2 linked regions of the Tamandua tetradactyla genome follow. The protein of the gene in region 2 interacts with the protein of the main gene of each other region in a pairwise test. Links are inferred from orthologs where the notes say so. Each region holds a gene or a part of one and is shown on either strand. Other genes may lie near its edges. The genes, in order: APOC1 and APOA1.

What was found.
Region 1: the proteins of APOA1 (region 2) and APOC1 interact in a two-hybrid assay, tested with the Homo sapiens proteins (2 studies listed by BioGRID, with this or other methods). The link is inferred for Tamandua tetradactyla from reciprocal best matches to the Homo sapiens genes APOA1 and APOC1.

The regions. Positions count from the first base shown.
Region 1 is NC_135342.1:18,177,043-18,184,503, forward strand, and holds APOC1 (apolipoprotein C-I), read right to left. Parts: upstream 3,259-7,461; 5' UTR 3,185-3,258; intron 2,433-3,184; exon of another isoform or gene 2,376-2,432; intron 2,257-2,375; 5' UTR 2,237-2,256; coding exon 2,179-2,236; intron 1,709-2,178; coding exon 1,561-1,708; intron 340-1,560; coding exon 279-339; 3' UTR 136-278; downstream 1-135. Other genes in the region: APOE (apolipoprotein E), read right to left, coding at 5,340-6,135, 6,449-6,620, 7,104-7,165. UniProt on the Homo sapiens protein: Inhibitor of lipoprotein binding to the low density lipoprotein (LDL) receptor, LDL receptor-related protein, and very low density lipoprotein (VLDL) receptor.
Region 2 is NC_135334.1:23,995,378-24,003,306, reverse strand, and holds APOA1 (apolipoprotein A-I), read right to left. Parts: upstream 2,764-7,929; 5' UTR 2,617-2,763; intron 2,367-2,616; 5' UTR 2,347-2,366; coding exon 2,304-2,346; intron 2,093-2,303; coding exon 1,939-2,092; intron 1,284-1,938; coding exon 680-1,283; 3' UTR 559-679; downstream 1-558. UniProt on the Homo sapiens protein: Participates in the reverse transport of cholesterol from tissues to the liver for excretion by promoting cholesterol efflux from tissues and by acting as a cofactor for the lecithin cholesterol acyltransferase (LCAT).

The sequences.
Region 1 (7,461 bases), on a different chromosome or scaffold from region 2:
TGACATTAGAGCAACAATCCTTAGCATCGGGCAAGTGGAAAATGCTCATTTGGTCTGAGTTCCTGTAACTCTTTCCCGAAGGCACAGCCCATACCCTGTCCCGCAGCCCCTGTCCCACAGAGAAGCACTCAGGTGGACTCTTATAGGACTTTATTAATGTTTAAGGAGACATGAGTCATTGTGGAGGGAGTCCTCAGGGCAGGGTCCAGGATGTGGGAAATTTCAGAGGCCTCTCCTTTGGCTAAGGACACAGAAGAGCAAGACGACCCTCCGGGTGATCAGGAGAAGGCAATTTTGAATTTCTCCTTCATCTTTTTTAATGTGTCTGTAAACCAGTCCCTGTTGGGAGACATGGAGGAAGGGTCCTTGGGTGCCATCACACCTCCTGCCAGGATGAACAAATCCCCGCCCTACCCCCTATTTGTCTTCCTGATTTCCCTGCACCTTATCCCCTCTTCCCCAAGAAAAGAGCTGAGTTCCCCACTGGTCTGTGGGCTTAGCAGGAGTACAGCACTGGGTGAATATGGCCCCTTGCCTCAGTTTCCCAGATGGACCAGAGCCCCTTGAAGTTGGAACACTTCACCCTGGCCTGGCTTTTGAGGTCTTCAATCTCCCACCACCTGCCTTTTTTCCAAGCCTACTCTTGCCCTAGCTCCCTCCTCCTCCAAGGGCTCTTTCTGGCCTCTCGACCTTTGCCCAGGCTGTTTTCTTTGTGTCAAAGGCCACCCTCTCCAGAAGTCGTTCCTGGCAAATTTAACCTTGCATATCTACAGATCCTCCTGCCTGAGGGCCTTTGCACTTACCTCCATTGAGGGACATTCTTATGGAGTTTCTACCTGGATGGACTTTCCTAACCATTCTGATCTCAATTTAAATGCCACCAACCCTTTTCCAACCCCTCCAAGTCTTTGGCCACCAGCCTGTCTGTTTATGGTACTGGGCTCTTTCTGCACTAATCTCCTGGATGGTTGGCTGGTTTATAGTTTGTTTTATCCCACCTAGAATGTCAGCTCCCTCAGGGCTGGAACTTTACCTTGCTCACTATTGTCTTAGTCCCCACATTGGAACAATTGCTGGCATTTAGCAAATGCTCAGTCAATGATTGTTCCCAATGAACAATTCTCTATCCTGGCAGCACCAAATGGATAACATGTCAGAACCTACTGAACATTTTCCAACGTGCCAAGCCCTCTGCAGGTCCTCCAGGTTACTTCTCTCCAATAAAAGCCATTTTACAGATGAGGAAACTGAGGCTCCAGGGTGAAGCCCCTCTCCCAGGATCATGCAGGGCATAAGGGGTCGACGGCAGTTCCATCAGACTCCCAGGCTGGGCCCTTCACCATCACCCAGGACCATCTCTGCAATGTGCCCAGGTTGCGAGTTAAGGGACCTGGCTACCCAGTCTGAGCAGCCCTAGCTGGCTGCGGGAACACGGGGATATGGTCGACTATCTCTGGGCCTCTGTTTTCCTCATCTGTAAAAGGGGGAGGACCTGGGCTTCTCCTTCAGGCTTCCCCCAGAGACACCCCAGCCCTCTCCTGCCTGGGGCAGGGTCCCCACCGGGTCTTGGCTGGAATGTCGCTGTTTTTGATGTGTTCAATGGCTGCCCGGGACTTGTCTTCCAGGGTCTGTCCAAGCTCCTTCAGCTTGTCGGGGAGGCTCTCCAAGGTCCTGTGGATGCTGGGTGCCGCCTGGGCGGGGGCTGGGCCTGCTCAGAGGATGGAGGGGCGGGGCGTGCGAACATTTCAGTACCGGGAAGCCTTACGATAGGATTCCAGGGATGGGGAAGGTCATCCTTGAATGTGATTCTAGGGGTTCATGGGGGTGAGAAACGGGGGTACTAGAGCGACCAGATGGGGCTCAAGTTGTCAGGGATTGCTTGACTCTGCCACCCCTCGCCACCTCCCAGGCAGCAGAAGCGGGCCAGCCAATCCCTGGGGGAGGGGAGCGTTACGTCATCGGTTGCTAGGGCTTTTCTGAGCCTATTCGCTGCCTGCTGGGCCGCTCCCGGGAGAGGCTTGAGACCCACCTGGCACTGGAGGGTGGGCACGCCATGGACTCTTAGGGGTCAGGGGAGCAAAAGGGGTCCCAGAGTTCTCAGGGGTGCCCCAAGTTGGCCTGTGCCCAGCTGCACGCTTCCAAACCCCCAACTCTCAAATCCTCCAGTTCTGCGTTTACCTTCCAACACCATCCACAGAGCCACCACCAGGACCGGGAGCGACAGGAGAAGCCTCATGGCGGGGCCGGAGGGGCACTCTGCAGGCGGAGCGGGGCGGGGGCGATCATGACCTCCCTCCTGCCTCCCCATTCATCCCCACCCCTCCCTTTCTTGCGCTTTTGGGGGTGGGGTCCCGTCCCGGGCTCTGAGCACTAACCTGAATCTGATGTAGGACAGCAGGGGTGGGAAATCCTGGCCCGCCCAGGGCCTTTATCAGCTGGGAAGGGGGCGGGTCAGGCTGGTCTCCCGCCCCCTGAGCCACCCCCTGGCCTCCTGCCTCCTCGTACCCACCCGCCTTTTCCTCTCTCTGCCCCTGGCTGTTCGCGGTTTGGGGGCTCAGAGGGGACCCAGGTGTGTCCTGGAGGCTGGAAGCCCCTTGCTGTTTGGCACTCTCACCCCCTAATTTCCCCGGCTGGGGGGTGGGGGGGCAGGAGGTCTTCAGACTGTCACAGGCCTTCCTCTCCTTTGGAAACAGCCCTCACTTCTTGTGGCTCTCTTCCCTCAGGGGTCTCCTGCTTGCTACCCATTTCCGGGGGTTCCTCAGTAACCCTGGGTGGGTCCGGGGGGCTCAGCCCCCCAGTTCACACTCTATGTCCCCAGGCCCCTGTTTCCACACACACATACCCCCTCCAGAGCTAGTCTCCTGGAATCACACAATTCTTCCTCCTGTGCCCCTGCATGTCTCCAGCTACAGCCCCACACTCCAAACCCCCAAGTCACCTCCCGCCTCCTTCAAGCTCCCCCTTCTCCTGCACCTGGGAAGGACTTACACTTCTACCAACGCTCTCTGGGGTCTTAACTTCACTGCCCTCAATCTCCCTTTTTGGGGGGAATGGGGTGGGGAGGTGTCTCTACAGCCTGTTAAAACTCCAAAACTTAAGCTTCAAGGCTTCCAATGTATGCCCTCCCCCCATCCATTCCACCAAAGCCCAGTCCCCCTAACCCCCTCCCCTGTAAACACTCCACCTGCTCCTCTGCGCTCTCCCAGGCAGCACTCCTAGGTGCACTTGGACATCCTTGCATGGATCCCGACCCCTGACCCTCCTCCCTGCCACCTCCACATCTGCCCCCCAGGGCTAGAGGCAGTCTCCTCCTCCTCGGCTGGCCTGGGGGCTGGGCTGCCTCTGACCTCCCTTGCCCCCTGACAGTTGGTTTGTCTTGTGCCCTAATCCCGCAACCACATGTGGAGGCCTGGCCTTGGGGGGTGGTTGTGAAAGGGCTGCACAGAGGCCGCCCTGGCGGGATTGCGACAGCCCCTGGTCTGGCCAGCTCAGCGCTTCCAGTGTGCGCGCCCGGGCCACCTTCCCAGACGTCTGCTGCCCAGCCCTGCTCCCCGCTCCCAAGAATAGAATGACAAACAGCCCCCAACTCAGCTACCAGCAGTTCTATTTTACAAATGAGGAAACTGAGGGACACCCAAGGAACATCCATCAGGTCAGGGAGGGGTTAAAGGGCGGAGTGTCTTTGCTCCCCATCTCTGCTTCCCTTCTGCGGCCAGTCCCCCACTCCTACCCCATGGCACCCACTGCCACCTCTGCTCCCCAAACCCCCTTCACCGGCTCTTGTTCCGCCCCCTAGAGCTGGCTGAGGCTGTGCTGAAGGGGCACCCCTGCCCCTGTGCTGAGATTTCTTCCTCGTCCAGAAATTTTTAGCAGTCTTAGGGGTCCTAAGATATATATGAGAATTCAAGATTCAGCTGTTCAATGGAACCATTTATTAGTTCATAGTGTTAGGTGATGTGCACCTCAATTAAAAAAATTTAAAAGATTCAACTGAAGTTGGGAGACATGCCAATGTACGCCCCTCTCCCCACCCCTGCACACCTGGTTGATATCTGGGGAGGCTGAAGCAGCAGCACCCGGGCCAACCCACCTAGGAGTCACTGACCCTCCTCCTCCTCCCTCAACCCTGTGGGTCATCTCAGGGGGTGGGGGGCAGGGAACCCTCCTCCACATAGGTGCTTAAGGCTGGCCAGGATCTGCAGTCAGCACAAGGACTTGGAGAAGCTCAGGCCTGGCCTGGGAGACACACGTTCAAGCCTGGGCCCATGCCCGTGGAAGCCTGACTCTCCTCAGCTGAGAACTGAGGGGGTGGCAGAGGGAAAGTGCCAGCAGCTCCCAGGCGCTTCATCCCCACCCCCCTGCCCCCCCACCTCCGCCACTGGCCAACCCTGCCAACTTCCAACTGTGTCTCCCTGGCCCCGACCTCCACGGAGTCTCCAGGAGGCCTGGCATAGGCCCACCCAGAGCAAGGCCACCTCGCCCTTCTCCCCCAAGGTTGATAGCTGGGAGATATAAGAGGCAGACAACAGGACTGGAGGAGAGGGACAGAATGAAGGTAGGGGGAGGGCAAGGCAGCTGGGCAGGAGTGACAGAGGGTCTTGCTTAGAGGAAAAGCAGGTTCGCCTAACATCGATGAGGAGGATGAAGGAGGGCAAGGGGGAAACGAAACCCTACGAGGGAGAGATAAAAGATAGAGGTGGAGGAAAACAGGAAACCAGCTCTCAGGGAGAGCAAGACAGAGGCCCAGAGGCCAGGGAAGGGAAGGAGGCAGAATCAGATAAGGCTGGACGGAGAGGGAGAATCGAGAGTGGATAACAGTAATAAGATGGCACTGGTCTCGGGGCATTTTGATTCATGAGTGTAGGAGGCAGGTGTTGTTTATTATGGGGACACAGGTGTTGTTTTTTATGGGGAAAGGGAGTCCTCCACCCCCACTGCTCAACATCACTCAGATGGTCTGAGTTAACAGCAGGATTTAACAGCCCAAAGCTGGCTTTATTCCAGAACTCATGTTTTGGAGACAGAAACAAAACGGAGGCCAAGATAAGAAAAAGGGAGAATGGAGAGAAGCAGGGACACACACATGGAGTCAGCCAGGCAGAAGCGCCAGGATGGGGCACCCCAAGGCCAGTGTGGTGGGGAAGGAAAGAGAAACCGAGGCTCAGGCTGTGAGAAATCACGACTGCATGCCTGGAGACTGCTGTGAAACTCCATGAATCTTTATTAGATTGGGGCCCCCAAGGAGAGCAGTGGGGGCAGAGCCAGGGCTCCCAGCTGGCTGAGGGGCAGACAGAGCCATGAGGCAGGAGTGGGGCGGGGTGGGCACAGCGCCTGGGCGCTCACTGATTCTCGCTGGGCAGGGAGGGGGGCGCGGTGGTGGGGATAGTGGTGGGGGCGGTGCCCACGGCCGCCTTCACCTTTTCCACGAACTCCGCCCACTGGCGCTGCATGTCTTGCATCACTGGCTCGAACCAACCTCTGAGGCGGTCCTGGAAGGCCTCGGCCTGCAGGCGTATCTGCTCGGCCTGCTCCTCCACCTTGGCGCGCACCTCCTCCAGGCGGTCGTGGGCCTGGGCGCGCACCTCCTCCAGGCGGTCGTGGGCCTGGGCGCGCACCTCCTCCATCTGCTCGCGCACCTCCTCCAGGCGGTCGCGGGCCTGGGCGCCCATCTCCTCCAGCCGCCCGCGCAGCCTCTGCGCGCGCTCTCGCAGGGGCTGGCCCACCAGGCTGCTCACGGTGGCGGCCCGCAGGCGGCCCTGTTGCAGCAGCGGCCAGAGGCGCTCGCGGATGGTGCCCACGCTGCGCTCGGCGCCCTCCTGGGCCCCCGCGCGGTACACGGCCAGGCGCTTCTGCAGGTCCTGGGCGTCGCGGAGCAGCCGCTTGCGCATCTTGCGCAGGTGGGAGGAGAGGCGGGTGCGCAGTTCGTCGGTGTTCTGGCCCAGCATGACCTTGACCTCGTTGCGGTATTGCTCCAGGCGGCCGCGCAGGTCCTCCATGTCCGACGCGAGCCGGTCCTGTGCCGCCTGCAGCTCCTTGGACAGGCGCGCCCGAGTCTCCTCGGCCACGGGCCCCAGCTGGTCATCCAGCTCGGACTTGTAAGCCCTCACCTCCTTCATGGTCTCTTCTATCAGTGTCCTGTGGGCCAAGAGGGCAGGCAGGAGAGGATGGAGAGTCAGGGTGGAGAGAGAGAAATGGGGAGAAAGACCCCCGCTGGGGCTGGGCAAGAAAGTGGCAGGCAGAGAACCCCCCAAAAAACGAAGGGGGGAAAGGCAGAGCGGGAGATACTACACTACAGGAGTCAAGCCAGGAGTTAGAGACGGAGGCAAGCAAGAAATGGACAGAATCCAGCAACCTCAAGAGTTGGTTACAGGAAGAGAGAGAAACCCAGACGTGAGAGTCCCCAGGGAGCCTCCCATCAGGAGGGTCCGGCGCCCAGGCAGGCACTCACGTCAGCTCCTTGTTGACCTGGGTGCTGCGGAGTTCGTCCTGCACCTCGTCAGTCATTGTCTGCACCCAGCGCAAGTACTCCCAGATGCGTCTCAGGGCTAGCTCCCAGGGCTTGCTGGGCTGCTCCTGCCCCAGCGGTACCTCCAGCTCCAGCTCTGTATCGGCCTGGCATCCTGTGAGGAGCAAGTTCACAGCCTGGTCAAAGCCCTCTTGCTCCCTCTGGCCCCTCCACCAGGTGCCTGGAACCCAGTGGCTGCTCCGCAAGTCCTCATGGACTTCTTTGGAGCAGTGGAGGGGGGACCCCGTGTGTCTCATCACTTGCCAAGCACGTATAACTGTCTTTGCAGGCCCCACGCAGGGCCATGCCAGGGGGTGTGGGGAGAGGGGTGTAGGGATGGAGAACAAACAGAATCACAGCTCAAACTATGTGCTAGAAATTGTTGTTTCCATTTTAGGGATGGGGAAACTGAGGCCCAGAACCAAAGAATAGCAAAGAGGCCTGAGACTCAGGCCTGCTCTCGAGCGAAAGACTGTTGAAAGAAGGGTGGGGGTGGGGGAGCCCAGGGCCTGAAGGGGGCAGGAGTAAAGGTAAGTATGGGAGGAGGAGGGGGAACCTAAGCAAGCCCGCCGGCCCCCATCCCACCAGGTCACCATACCTGCCAGGAGTGTGACCACCAACACAGCCCACAGAATCTTCATCTTCCTGTGATCAGCCAGTCTAGGGAGAGAGAGAGACTCGTCAGTCCCATCCCCAGCCTTGAAAGGCCGTGCCCACCCGCCCACCTCCATTATCTATTATGACCTAATCCAAACACGTTACCAAACTGCCTCTCCATTGTCCATGTGATTCCCCATTGTCTTCTCCCATCTCCTTGTCCACATTTAGGTGGCATCTTCCTCTCCCTGGGTTCAAATTCCACTCACTGCGCCCAAGTTCCATCTGTGTCCCAACTGTGCTTGCTAAACGTCAACACTGCATTCCTTGTTCTGCTTTCCCCTTTTAAGCTTCAACTT
Region 2 (7,929 bases):
GTTTAAATGTTGAATTAATAAAGGAGTAAGGGACACGCTCCAAGCTCTTCATTTGAGCCTGCCCATATCCCCCAAGTTCTAATGACTCCCTGGGGCCCCATGCTGTGTCCCTTAGAGCCAGAGGGCAGGAAGAGGCTCCTGTCATCTGTCCCGTGAACACCTCCACCTGTCTAGCTCCCCTAAGGGAACACCTGTGGAGACAAGGAACCCAGTTCTCCCGGAAAACCCAACCTGGTTCCCTGACCTTCCTCAGACAGGGCTGCAGGACTCAATTACTGGGACAGTTGGCATTGGGTTACCTGTTGTTTGCCTGGTCCGCTATTATCTCCTTTCTTTGGGCCCCGTTGGGAGTGGGGCTTGACTACCCTACTCCCAACCCAAGGCCCACCCAGCCAGGTTCAGCAGGTCCCCCCACCTGGCCCTCAAGAGGCTCCATCCGGGCGTAGGGTTGACAGGCTTCCCCTCGCAAACCAACCTAGGAGCCCCCCACCCCTGGCCGAGCCCCAGGCCGGCTCCCCTAGACGTCCCCTCCAGCACCCAGCACCCCAGGCAAAGAAGTTGTGTCCCACTTTGGAAACTTTTATTCTATGAAATTGAAAGATGGAAAGCAGAAGCCCAGGAGAGGGCCACCCTTGGGTCTGATGCTTGGGCCCCAGGGCCAGGAAGGGGTCCCGTGGCCTCAGCTGGGGTTCAGTTTCTTGGTGACCTCATCCAGGGCGGTCAGGAAGCTAGCCTTGAAGGTCTCCAACACGGGCAGGATGCCCTGGTGAAAGTCCTCGAAAGCGGGCTTGGCCTTCTCGCCCAGCACCTTCAGCTGCTCGGAGACCTTAGCGTGGTACTCGGCCAGACTGCTGCCGCCGTCCTCCTTGAGCGCCTGGAGCCGGGCGGCCAGTCGCTGGCGCAGCTCATCGCTGTGCGGGGCCAGCTGCGAGCGCAGCGTTTCCACGTAGCTGCGGACGTTTTCGCGCAGCTCCTCCGCCAGCGGGTTCACCTTCTCCTGCAGCTCCTGCAACTTTTGGCGCGCCGAGTCCCCGAACTCCTTGGTCAGCGGCGCCACCTTCTGGCGGTATTGCTCCATCCTCTCCTGCAACTTGGTCTGGAACTCGTCCAGGTAGGGCTGCACCTTCTGCTTTATCTCCGTCAGGTCCTTGGTCATCTCCTGCCTCAGCCCGGCTGTGTCCTTTTCCAGGTTATCCCAGAACTGCTGGGTCAAGGGGCCCAGCTGCTCCCTCAGCTTGGTGGCGCTGCTGCTCAAGGTGTCCCAGTTGTCCAGGAGTTTCATACTGAAGGGGCAGAGAGGGGCCGAGGAGTGACCTCCCAGGGACCCTGGACTCCCCAGGAGCTGGAGGCCCAGCACCCCAGTTTCCCTGTGTTGAGATCTGGGCTGTATGTGTCCCTGATTGTGCAGTCACTGAGGGCCAGGCTCTCCACCTAACTCTTCCCAGCTCCCCCAGCTCCCCGACCTCCCCCAGCTCCCCTTCCCCCCGCCCCATGCCCCATTGTACGAGGGACCCAGGCACAGAGCAGCGCAGGGACCCAGCCAGGGCTACTGAGTGAGAGACAGAGTTGGGATTGGAGTTCAGTCTTGCCAGTCCCCAGTGCTGGGCCTTTAAGAACCACACTTCTGTATGTCAAGCCTCCTCTCTTTCAAAGACAGCTGTGGCTAGGCAGGAGCAGAAGAGGCCGTACAGAGGGGAAGGGGCTTGCTGACTAGCAGGCGGGAGGCAGGGCTGTGATTACTAACTGGCCAGTATCTGTTCTGTCTGCTGGACAGCTGGTGACCATGCCTGGGGATCCCACTCCTGTTTCTACGGGGCCTCCTAGCTCATCAGCTAGCAGGTGGGGACTCGCCCAGCCTGGCTCCAGCATCCTCCTCCAGGCTCTCTGCTCCCTGGGGACCAGTAGCCCCGACCCCAAACCCCAAGGCTGGGTCCTTACTTCAGCTGTTTTCCCAGGGCTGAGGACTCAAATTGGGCCACATATTCTCTGCTGCTGTCTTTGACTGCATCCAGGTAGATGGTCATAAAATCCTTGATTCGGTCCCAAGGGTCCTGGGGGTCATCTTGCTGCCAGAAGTGCCGAGCCTGGCTCCCTGGGGGTGGGAAGGGGTGGGGGGGACCCGGCTCAGGCCTGCACCCTGGGATGGGATCTGAACTGCAATGCCAGGCTTGGAGGCCAGGGAGATGGGATGGCCGGTGCAGGAGTTAGTGAGAAATTGTCTTTTCTGCCCCCCGGGGAACACAGGGTTGAGGGGGCAGGGCCCCCCTGGTGGTTGAGGGGTCCCCGAGCTTGGGGGCACCTACCCGTCAGGAACAGCACGGTCAGGGTCAGCACCACGGCTTTCATCTTGAAGGGACGTGGGTGGCCTGCAGGAGAAGAGGGGCCTGGCTGGGCAGAGGCCGGCCTCTAGCAGAGGGAGCCCTGGACGCCCCAGCTCACTCCACCAAGACGGGAGGAGGGACAAGAAGTGGGGGAAGACCTGGGTACCCAGGGCCCCAGCATGGGGCAGAGTCTGGAGCCAGCATCCCAGAGCCAAGGCCTTAAGTGCCTAGAGCTGGGGGGTGGGGTGGGGTGGGTGGGAGCCAGTGTTCCTTGGAGGGGGGCAGCGGCACTTACCTGGAACCCTCCAGCAGTCTCTGAGCAGCCAGTTCTCCTCCTGGACCTATTTATGTCTCAAGGCAGGGGCTGGGCTGGGAGGCTGATAAGCCCAGCCTGGGTGCTGTGGCTGCACACTGTTCCTGGCGATGTGGAACTTAGAGTTCAAGGATCAGCTCTGTCCTGGGGCTGGGCAAATAGAGTGGGCAAACAGGAAGCTGCGGGGGCTGCAAGGCCAAGGGATCAAGGATTCAGGAGGGGGTGTGCAGGGGTGTGCGTGCAGGCTTGTCGATAGCCAGGCTCTGGGTGGGCTGCACCTACCCCCATCCCCTCCAGCGGGGATTGGAGCGGGCTGTGCACTACCATTGTTGATTGTCCCAGCACAGCGGGGGAGAGGGGGCAAGAGAGAAAAGAGCAGCTGGCCGCAGACTTCACTCCTCTTCCACCGGGTCCCCCACCTCCACCCCCACCCACCTCCCTCCCCTTGTGTCCAGGGGAGATCGTCCCACACTCCACCGCTGTTCCTCCCCCGTCCCCATCCCCTACAAAGGCAGCAGACATTCCTCCCCCAAGCACTGCCTCACCTCGAGTCGCACAGCCCCTGCACAACCCTTTGCTTTCTCCGACCCATCCACAAACCTCCCAAACCTATGCACCTGAGGCCCTGGAGAGTCAGCTGGGGGGACATGGAATGGCTCAGTGGTTCCCAGACTTTAGGATTTCAGAGGCTGCTAACATTTCAGGTCAAATTCTAGAAGCCAACATGGAGTTGCCAACTTTTAATCTTGACATGTAATGATACCATATACACCCCGTGCCCTGCCTCCCGCCCAGACCAAAAAAAACCCCCACCATCTTCCACAACCATCTCTTCAAAAAAGAAAAAAAAGGAAAGGTTTTTTAACATCAAAAAAAGGCATCAACTCAGAATAAGGACGCTTACTTAAATTGAATACCTATATCTTAATGGAAGCCTCTGTGCATTGTGCATATTTTCACAGCACACGCAGGTGACACTGGACACCAGCCTAAGGGTGTGGAGGCAGGACCCCGGGCTAGGAGGTGGTGGGAGACCTGGTTTGTTACTTCATTTTGCCTCCAACTGTCTGGAAGATGTTGAGCCAGTTGTGTTCTCTCCCCGAGTCTCAGCTGCCTTTCTGTGAAAGAGGGACAAGAAAACCCAGTTTCTCAGGCTGCTGGAGAACTGCGGGCGCTGCATGTGCCGGGGCTGGCCCCACCACTTTGTAAGGTTTCTCCTGGAAGGCCCAGGACCCCCGACACCCCCTCATTGACAGGACCTGAATCATTGAACCCGGGAATGGCCAAGCTGAAAGAAACTTTGAGCTCCACTTTTCCCAGCCTCCCCCAGACCGCACCATTATACAGATGAGACCAGAAGGAACTTGCCCAATGTCCCTCAGGAAGTTAGAGGTGGGGCTGGACCTAGAACCCAGGTCTCTGGACTTAGGACCCAGGGCAGAAATGTGCCATGTGCCCTCTGCTCAGGAAACTCCCTGATACTCTAAAACCCAGATGGTGCCCCTGCTGCTGGATTCTGGAGAGGCTGGCTGCCAGGTCTCCTGTGGACTCTAGCTAGCTGGTCTCTGGTTACTCATCTCAGAGAAGGCAGCTTTGGAGCCAGATAAACTTAGGTTGGAGTCTCAGCTTTATCACTTGTAAGTTGTATGATCTCAGGCAAGTTACATAAGCTCCCTGTGTCTCAGTTTCTTATCTGTTAAATGAAGATAATGATAGAATGTGCCTCTCCCAGGGCTATAAGAGGGACATGGGGGGTAGGCAGAATAATGCTCCCTGCACCCCCAAGATGCCCTTGTCTTAATTTTGTGAATGCATCACCTCACATAGCAAAAGCAAGTTTGCAGGTGTAACTAGGTCAAGGACCCTGAGATGGGGAGATTATCCAGGTGGGCCCACTGTAATCACAAGTATCCTTAAATATACAGGAGAGAGAGAGGAGAGGGAAAGGCGGAGGAGATCATGTGACCATGCAAACAGAGGTTGCAGTGATGCAATTGCTGGAGCTGGGCCCCAAGCCCAAGAACCTGGGCAGCCTCTAGAAGCTGGAGAAGGCGAGGAGGATTCTTCCCTAGTGCCTCGAAGGGGGGCATCCCTATTGCCACCTTGATTTTAGCCTGGTGAGATGCATTTTGGGCTTTTGTGATCCAGAGCTGTCAGATCACACATTCATATCGTTTTGAGCCACTAAGTTTATGGCATTTTGTTAAGGAGCAATAGAACATGAATACAACATGTATGCGAAAGTGTTAGAAGGGTACCTAGCACTCAGCAAACGGGAGCTATTCTATGTCCCACAATCCCAGTCTCTGGCATTCTGTTCCCTTGCTCCCATGAACACATCTGCATTGTCAGACTGTAGGTCTCCATCTTTCTTTTTTTTAAATGCAGTTTTATTGAGATATAGTCACATACCATAGAAACCATCCAAAGTATGCAATCACTGGTTCATGGCATCATCACAATGCATGTTTGTGTTGGCTTCTGGCAGCAGAAGCAAGGGAAGGCGGGAGTCCCATATTTCTCTGTGTGCCCCTGACTCCCAGCTGCTGGGATATAGGATATCTACCCAGGCCCAGAGGTCTGTGGAACTGTGCAGAGAGGGAAGTGAACAGCCCATCCAGGCCACCTCTTGGCTATCCCAGCTTTTTCCACCTGTGTGTTGAGTGGGAAAGAGGCTGGTGCCTTCTGGGGCAGCTCCCAGATGCCCTGGTCCAAGAGAGGCTCCTTCCTTTGGGGTTAGAGCTTGTCCCAGCCAGCATGTGGGGGATCTCAGAAGCTAAAAGCTGGACGCCAAAGCCACTTGCCACTGTTTTACTCTTCTCTTTGGTTTGTTACTGAATGATTATTTTAACTAAACCTAATACATTTGCACTATTCTTTAGTGGCCAAAGCACTTTCGCAGCTAACTTACTATGTGCCTGTCAGGCTCCAGAGCAGATTTTATCATTGTTGTTTTGCCAGGGATTAAAGCACAGCTTAGAGCTGCTAAGTGTCTCACTTGTGTCCTACAGCCTTTAGTATTTGGTGTTGGCACGACTGGGACTCAGGGACCTGGCTTACAGCTGTTGAGTGTTGCCTGAGGACTACCAGCAGCAGGGCTGGACTCCTACACCCTTGTCCTCTGTTCAGGAACTTCTCAGTTCCCTGGGTTGGGGTAGGGGGTGCTGCTTGACAGCATCTTTCCAAGCAGGAAAGTTCCTTTTAAAATATACGTATTCACTAGTGTGTCCCCTCCATTTCATTGAAAGACATTTAAATTAGCCCAATCCCCTTGTTCCTAATATTTTGAAAAGGAAGTCTTTTTGGACAGAGGCCTTATGGAAAAACTAACCTGGCTCATCACAGACTCTGATTCCGAGGGCCCAACCAGTGTAGGCTGTGGAGCGCCCACAAGTGTAGGTCATTATTCCCAGCACCCTCCTCCCCTTGTCCTACGAGTCTCCAGAGTAACCATCTCTGCAGTGGGTCACTAAGTGGCAGGTCCAGGAGCCCCTGACAGGCCTGGGAGTGCTGGAAGTAAACCATCAGCGACTCATTTGGGTAACAAGTTGATCTTTCACAACGTATGTTCCAGCAGGTCTGTCTGCATTGGAAGGACTCTGTCCCCTGCTAGACCTGGCACATAGTAGACACTCAATAAATAGTTGCTCAATGAATGAGACTGACATACGAAAGGAAGGGTCAGCGAGAGATAAGGAGTCATTTGGAGGCATGGGCCTTAAGAAGAGCCTCTGGAAATTCTGGAGCACTCTTGGCTTGGTATAATCCAAGAGCACATGGTACGTACTGAGATGTGATGCTGAGGGGCGAGGTGAGGGTGGGGAGGAGGTTCTGGTTGAGCAGAGCAGACAGTATTTCCCTCCACCCCCACCCCAGTTTTCCTTTTAGCAATTTTATTGCAGCTCCTGGTGAGAGAAAAGAGAGCCCCCAGTTAAGCCTTAGGGCAGGTCATTGTAACCAAGCTGCTGCCCGATTCTGTCCTGCTCTCCTGCTCAGGAGACTAAGGTAAAGGCAGAGCTCATCTGTGAGTGGCAAGAACAGGGGTCTCACCCCTCAGGAGACACACCAGTCCTCTGAATTCTTGATCCTTGCAGTTGGGGTTGGGTGGAAGCTGACATAGAGTCGGAAAGAAAAGGAAGGATCTGCCAGAATGGCTTCTATTTTCTCAAGCTCAGAGATCTCTTATTTATCCAGGAGATAGCTGTTTCCTCTCCAAGCTCATTCTACCTCTAGCCCGAAGGCACCCTGGAGGGAGTGCCACATATTGCAAAAGGTTGTTTCAAGATTTTAGAAGGCATTTGGGTCTATCACTGTTGGTGATTTTAAAGATACCTAATCTTAAATGAGTGTACAGGACTCAAAGGATTTCTAAAATTGTTATCTTGAGGCCCGTATTGCAAAAGGTCTTTTCTGTTCTAAATGGCCCCGTGGCTTCTTTCTAGTTCACACTATTGAACGCTGATGTAAGTCCCCTTTTCTCATCCCTCTTTCTACAAACTCAGTATTTCTGGCTTCAGTAATGTTTTCACCTTGAGGCCCTTCAGTCAGCTCTCTTAGCCCTGCCTGGGCCCTCCCAGGAAATTCTACTCTGACCTTCAGGGTCCAGGTGAGGGAAAACAATAGGAAAAGTCCCCTTTCTATTCCAATACTTATTTGGCTATTGTATCACTACTCGGATTGGAGTCATCTCGTAAAAGCCCCAGCCTGGGACAACTCTTTGAAGAGGCTACACCTTCAAAAGCACTCTCTCAAGGACCCTGTTTACCATCAAATGCAGGAAATGCAACTGCTCCCTTAAGAGGGGACAGAGTCCAAGCAGGGTGCCTGGAGGGACAGTATGAAGCTGAGTTCAGGCATCTACAGAAATGCTAGTTTCACAAGGCCGGGTGAGAGAATGAATCACTCCAACTCCACCCTTGACCTCTTAAGTTTCCAGTGTATCTACCTTCCACCCACCTGGATGCTTCTCCCAACTAGGCTCCGAACCACAAGGCAAATAATAGAGCAACATAAGATCATAATCAGGATTTTATTTTCACAATCCTTTACTGTCCAACTAAGTTATTGAGTTGTAAGTGCCCCACAAAAAAAGGATGAAAGGTCTTACTGCAACTTGGGTCTGGAGGGTTTTTTTTTTTTAATCCTCTTTTAGTTCAACATAAATGAGAAAAAATACTTCTGACATTTTAAAATAACAGAAATAGGAAAGTATATTCATATACATTCAACATATACTGCGCATATTGGTTACTACAATACAAAGCAATGATTTCTTTTAAAAAATGTGGTCGCAAG